Linked DNA regions of Arabidopsis thaliana. The protein of the gene in region 1 interacts with the protein of each later gene in a pairwise test. Each region holds a gene or a part of one and is shown in the gene's direction. Other genes may lie near its edges.

Evidence for each region. The genes of interacting proteins can lie anywhere in the genome.
Region 2: the proteins of AT5G55690 (region 1) and GIS2 interact in a two-hybrid assay, tested with the Arabidopsis thaliana proteins (one large-scale study listed by BioGRID).

The regions. Positions count from the first base shown.
Region 1 is NC_003076.8:22,548,303-22,552,063, reverse strand, and holds AT5G55690 (MADS-box transcription factor family protein), read left to right. Parts: upstream 1-1,969; 5' UTR 1,970-1,993; intron 1,994-2,418; exon of another isoform or gene 2,419-2,420; 5' UTR 2,421-2,440; coding exon 2,441-3,274; 3' UTR 3,275-3,357; downstream 3,358-3,761. Other genes in the region: BAM4 (beta-amylase 4), read right to left, coding at 1-191; AT5G55680 (glycine-rich protein), read left to right, coding at 3,703-3,761.
Region 2 is NC_003076.8:2,041,304-2,044,746, forward strand, and holds GIS2 (C2H2 and C2HC zinc fingers superfamily protein), read left to right. Parts: upstream 1-2,115; 5' UTR 2,116-2,182; coding exon 2,183-2,758; 3' UTR 2,759-2,897; downstream 2,898-3,443. Other genes in the region: EXT10 (Proline-rich extensin-like family protein), read right to left, coding at 1-625; AT5G06645 (gibberellin-regulated-like protein), read left to right, coding at 1-39. UniProt on the Arabidopsis thaliana protein: Probable transcription factor required for the initiation of inflorescence trichomes in response to gibberellin and cytokinin. Is not involved in the regulation of trichome branching. Is functionally equivalent to ZFP8.

The DNA.
Region 1 (3,761 bases):
ACGGAACGCAACTTAGTGATGAAACGACCGCGTTTGAAAGGAGGAATCATAGAAACGCTTCGGAAAAAGTTACGATTACGCTTTGTACTCTGCTCGAGGAAACAAGATTTCAAAGAAAATCCTCCGGGATGGAAGAAATTGCCGCCGGTGACTCCGCGACAGCCACATCCGATTACTCCAGTCTCCGTCATTTTCGTTTCTTCTCCTTCGTCGGAGATATTTCTCAGATGGTTTTAGATGCGGAGGAAAAGAGACGGAGATGGAGTACTTGAAACGCAAAATTCTATTTCTCTTTTTCTTTTCTTTTTAACGACCCAAAATTTATTTGGGGCTTTTCTGATATATATACTGAATTTTTAAATCAAGAAAATTATCAACTTTATAATTCCTTCTTGACCCTATACTTTTTCCTTTATTGCCTTTATTTTCTATTTTTTGCCCGTATGTTTTAAATATTTCTATAATTGACCCCAACTTTCGTTCTCTACTATATACCTCGTGCCTACAATATTTAATTATTTATAGGAGTATAGGTGTTTTTATGAAACAAATCAGTGAAATTATCAAAACTAATTAACGTTTTACTTGTTGAAGTTCAGGAGATGATTGAGATTACATTTATTTTATTATAAAAATCAGAGTTGATTTTTTCAAACTGGTGTTTAATGTGTAACATGGAAACAAGTTTAAATTTCTATTATGACTGACTTATAATTGAATAATAAAACTATGAGGACTTGAATAGCATATAGTCAAACTAATTGTACTTTTAGATGGTAATTTTTTTATATGATATTAAATATCCATTGAATAAGGTTTTTTAACAAAGAAAATGGAATTAACCATTTTGCTGACGTGGAAACATATCGTCCCTTAGTGGATAAGCATGTAAAATATCCCATTAGAACATATCCCATGCTACTCGCCACCATCAACACTGCCTATTACCAATTATAGTAGTGAATTTGGCATATAAATAGTATACGAAAAATGTCTCACATATTTAAGTTAACCTATTATTTCCGTCTTCATTGTCATATAGTTTGATCAAATTAAATCATGGGTCCACGATATGTCACGTTTCAGTCTCGTAGTACTACTCATCAAGTGGCAAAACTTTGTTTATCACATATAGCTGATATTTATTCGAATGTGAAAGATAATAAAGGATAAAAAAACAAAATTTCAAAATACGCACTAAGTAATAATTGCATGGGACATTTTACAAGTTCTAGTCATTTTTTAGTTACATACCAGTGCGTATGAGCATATGGTGATTGGTGAAATTGTTAAATGTATATTTCAAAGGCTATGAATTACCGATCAATCGATCAACACCAACAGCTACTAGTAGTTTAAAATTTTATGAAACAAATTTATTATTTGTCGATGTCTCCTAGTATTATATTAAAATGAACTATCGAGTATCAGTACAAATAGTCATCACAGAAGTGTGACAAACTTACGACAACAAACTTTAATCTTTTTTCTAATTTCTATACAACCAAACTACCAAAGTGGCCATGAAGACCAATAAGAACATTGTTGCAACTTGCAAACGGAACCTCAGCCACCTCCGGCGCCAAATTTCCGTAAGAATATTAACAAAGTTTTCAATTAAAGCAAAAAAGGAATATTTGAGAAAATTAATTGGCACAAATCACAAACAAAATCTTCTTTCTTGATCATGCTGTAATTACAATGTTTTCCTTTAACTGAACTCTTATCACTTGTGCGTGAACATAGAAACTAAAGATTTGTATAGCTTCGTCCTCTTTAATTCTACTCGAAAACATGGAAAGAAATAAAATATCAGCATTGCTACCGTAATTTAGGGGAGGAAACAATATTCGAGAATAAACCATATATTCTTTACGACAAAAAAAAAAAAAAAAAACATATATTCTTTTTTTGCGTGTGTCTTATATAAACACAGAAAGAGGAACTCCATTGTTAAATCAAGAAACTTCAGAAAGTAGAGCTCTTAAAGAAGGTATTATATACATTCTTTTTTTCTTCTAGTAATCACTCTGCATTTACTTTATGTTAATATCCCATCTGTTTTACTATTCGTGTTAATCGTATATGGATTTGGAATTATGCATAGGAAGCTTGACAAAACGATAAGGATTATGCTTATTAGTGAAAAAATTGAGAATAAAATAATATGAATCTTTCTTCCCTATACATTTGTAAGGCTTACATTGCTATGAAATGTTAAAATGTAAACCTAAAAGCTATATGAGTTACAAATTTTTTATTGACAACAAAATGTTTACTAGTATTAGTGCTTTGGTTGTAAATTTGTAGTGTTTCTGTATGTTTTGGTAGCTGATCGTTACATCCAAATGATGATATTACTATTTCAATTTTCAAGATTATGATCTATTGTTGTGTTTTACTCTTTTATGGCTTTTTAGATTGAAGCAAAGGTATCTGGATGGGTCGAAAGATGGTAAAGATGACGAGGATAACGAACGAGAAAACGAGGATAACGACTTACAAGAAGAGGAAAGCATGTTTGTATAAGAAAGCCAGTGAGTTCTCAACACTCTGCGGTGTGGACACTTGTGTCATTGTGTACGGCCCGAGCAGAGCAGGGGACGAAATGGTCATGGAGCCCGAGTTATGGCCAAAGGATGGGAGCAAAGTCCGTGAAATCTTAACCAAGTACAGAGACACTGCGTCAAGCAGCTGCACCAAGACATACACCGTGCAAGAATGCTTGGAGAAAAACAACACTAAGGTGGAGAAACCGACGATTGCGACAAAGTATCCTACATGGGACAAAAAGCTCGACCAGTGTTCTTTAAATGACCTCTATGCGGTTTTCATGGCAGTAGAAAACAAGATCCAAGAGGCTACGAATAGGAATCAGACATTTCCTGACACTAGTTGTTGGTCTAATGACCAACTTGGTTTATGCGGTTACAATCGGCAATGTTTTGAGCAGTATCAGTTGTTTCCTCTGCCTACTATGGATTACAACGGGCTCTCTTTCTTCCCTTTTAATAACCAGATGACCTCAAATACTGCGGAAGTGTCTTCCTTCTCGAATGTGACAGAGCCGATGATAGCGAACGGGCAAAGCTTGTTTTACGGGAGTTGTTCGGATGGTCCATATGGTCCGATGGTACAGAGGACAGCTTATATGGAGCCAATACATTGGGGTTTAGGAAACAGTATGTTCAACAATGTGAAGCAGTTCCAAGATTATCCCTTCAGGTTTGCACAAGTTAATGATTTGGAGGATTCAAGTAAACTTTCTATGTGAGAAATGTCATTTGTTTCTTCCGTTTGAATGTTGCTTTATAAACTTCTTTTTATCAAGTTTCTATTAAGTTTGTTGATTTTTTTCATAGCTATATCATGGAATAAGAAAATGGTGTTTTTACGAAAACATATTGTACTAACAAATATAATCTACCAACATTAATATACTATAAAGTAATCAATACAAAACAAGTAAGTATCTTGTTCATTAGAATTACAAGATATACTGAAGAGTCTTCTTATAGTCTGACAAAAAGCTAGTTAGCTGGAAGAACCAAAGTGGCTACTAAGATCAAAAATATGCATAGGAGATCATGTTGAACGAATTTAGAAGCCGACTTGGCTCCGGCGGGAACCTCAGCAGTCTCTGGAGCCAGATTCGCCGTCGCTGGTGCAGAACTACTCACCGGACCTCGTCCGTAAGGAAATATGTCCGGCGTATTCGCTGGAGTTGATGGAATATCAGGGGTTGTTACTGGCGATGTTGC
Region 2 (3,443 bases), about 21 Mb from region 1:
AGACATATGGTGGTGGTGGGGACTTGTACTCTATCTTAGGAGAAGGAGAGTAGTATGGTGGAGGTGGAGAATTGTAGACGTACGGTGGTGGTGGAGACTTGTATTCAACCTTTGGCGAAGGAGAATAGTATGGTGGGGGTGGGGAGCTGTAGACGTATGGTGGTGGAGGAGACTTATAGTCAACCTTCGGAGAAGGAGAATAGTATGGTGGAGGTGGGGAACTGTAGACGTAAGGTGGTGGTGGAGACTTATAATCAACCTTTGGTGAAGGAGAATAGTATGGTGGAGGTGGAGAGTTGTAGACGTTTGGTGGTGGTGGAGACTTATAGTTTACTTTTGGAGAAGGAGAATAGTATGATGGAGGTGGTGGAGAAATATAAACGTATGGTTTTGGATGTGGCGCGTACTTAGGGCTTTTGTGTTCATGGCTGGGAGAATTGTAATGTGGGGTTTGAGGGGATGAGTAAGGAGAGGAGTAAGGGTATGATGTCACTGTAGCCGCAATGGCACTTAGGACCACAACGTAAACCATGCAATGCCCTAACCCCATCGTTCTTGAGGATCTCATCATACCCATCTCTTTATTTTTATTTATTTGTTTTGGTTTTATGTTATACTTGAACATGAATACCATTTATATAGTCTTTTTTTGTGTGTGTAAATATTATACTATCTTCTCAAGTTGGCTTCGTGTGTGGCACTTCCAATTACATTAGAGGACGTGCAATGTTGTTTGTTTGAAATAAAGTAGCAATTCGATCGTGGAGAATATGAAATTTTATTAGATCCTCAATTTTTGAAATATTTGTTCGTTTTCTTTTGTTTGAACTTTGTCAACTCAAATAATTAGAAGAACAAAAGACTATTAATGATTATTTTAGCTATTGAGAAAATTTTTGTTTCATAAATTTTATGTGACAAGGGAAAAAATATTTTATTTCTCTTATGATGAATTAAAAGGCTGTGTATTAACTACTGCTTTTGTTTCTAAAGGATTATTGAAGAATTTTAGGGTATATTAGAGTTGCTTAAGCTGTTCTTCTTCTGTTAAAGCAACTGCATGCGAATCGATCGTGTGAGCAACGTTTGGTTCACGACCATGTTCTTTCCTCATGGGCGACCACTTTCATGATCCATTATAATAAAACAAATATGACGAAGACAAATTAACATAATATATCGTCACTGTTGCAGTTTGTTATGGAGAGTAACATTAATGAATCTGTTTTTAACAAGATCGTACTTCGAGACGAAAAGCAAAATCCAAACACAAAAAAAAGTAATCGCGCAGATGAGGAAACAAAGATGTGACACCACGCAGTTTACCATCTAACTACATTAATTTGAGGGATCCACCTGAAAACTTGTACTATATGTTAATTCATATGCATGGTTGTTTTATTTTACTTTTTGGTCTTGTGGTTAGTATTACCTACTCAAAAATGAGGATTTGATTAGATGAGGCAACATACAATTTGATTAACTACTCAAAAACATGGTTGTTCTAAAACTGACCATAAGGAAGAAAAAAATGTATATATATCACGACAGAGATTTGAAGTTTTGGACTAAAGCCTCACACATAGCCATCAGTGTTATATACTGTATATAAGCTGTCACTATTAAACATAGAAACAGGAACCTTAAAGATACAACTATATACTATCTTGACATCAAATACGTGTACTAAAACCTTTTCATAAAAGATGCATTGACATGACATATCAATGATGGTAGTTCGACGGGTAGAAATCATCAAGGCAAATCCGCATTTGAATTGAATGCTCACTAGATTATCTACAAGGAGACAAACCAATTAGCTCACTAGTTTAGTTCAATTCTTGTCTGGCTAATCCTATCTACATATACAAGACTATAATATAGCAAAATTAGAAAGAATATAGCTAGAAACGGGTAAATATATACTACTTACCAAAAACTAAATGTGCCTGAATAGGTCTATTATAGTTAATAGTTATTCAGTGTAAATTATCTATGTACATACCCCATCGGGAATTAAATGCAAGAAACATAGAGGAGACCGTACTTCGAAGTTGCAAATTTAACACTAAGTTGAAGAATCTAGAAATAGAAAGCCAAAATCTTCCTTTACTTCAACTCTACAATTTCAATCTTTTCTCTGTACTTAGCCATCCAGAGTCATAACCACCACTATATTAAAATGAAGACTTATGATTTCATGAACGTCAACTCTTTCTCTCCTAAGGAAAGACCCATTCGCCTCTTTGGCTTCGAGTTTGGAGCTTCTCATGAAGAATCTGAGTCCAAAGACAATTACAACGAGAACAATGAAAGCATCAAAGACGATAACAAAGAAAAAAGATTCAAGTGCCACTATTGTTTCCGGAACTTCCCTACTTCACAAGCCCTAGGCGGCCATCAAAACGCTCACAAGAGAGAACGTCAACAAACTAAACGCTTCAACCTCCATTCAAACGCAGCCGCTTTCTTCCACCGCCAACAAAACCACATTGCTGCTTCTAGGCTCTACGAGGATCGCTATAGCCTTGAAGCTGTTCAAATCAACGACGCGAGATTAGGGTTATGTCGTATGTATAACTCATCTGCGAGTTTTAATCGTGACCGTTCATCTTATTATAATAGATATATTCCTTGGTTCATCGGTGATCACCAGACTAGACCAACGTATGTCGGTGGTGGTAGCAGCAGCCATGGTCTGTTTTACGAGTCCAAGAAGAATGTACCGGACCACGTGAGTTTGGATCTACGCCTCTAGTTCCATTCTTTTAGTATCTCTCTCTAGCTAGTTCTTAAAAAAAAAAAAAGAGAGACTAGTTTTTTTTCCTTCTTTCAAATACTTTTTATTTTATTTTAGTCTACTTGATTAATTATGAATTTATGATAGTGTATCCCCGTAGATATCATGTTATATTAACAGTTAAACAATTTTATGGAGATGAACTTTAACTTCAGATAGTTTCTTTCTGAGATTTAAAGTCTTAAATATTATCGACGCATTCCAATCTCAGAATAGGTTTATATCTCACATTATAAGTATAGAATTGAGAATGGACCTTAACCCATGAAACTTAACAAAAACAAAATTAACATATGCTAAAATCTTCGGATTGTATTTTAAAATCGCTACTTGAAACTTCAACTTGTATCTAAAAAGGTAAAATTATTAATTGAATAATATAGTGTTTAGAAGCGAAACATTCGTCAATCACATCTAACGACGGTTAAAGTATGTGATTAATTGGGAATATTTAAATGATCGATTTGATAATCAGCAAGACAGCAACCATAAAAGTGGACACTTTAATTTTCGTAAAAAACAATTTGACCTTTTATTTTCTAAAAAAAATATTCAAATATCAAAAAATACGAATTTATTTGTAACATTTTTTTCGATTTTTGTTTTTTAATATTGTTATTTTTTTCATTTGACACATCGTTAT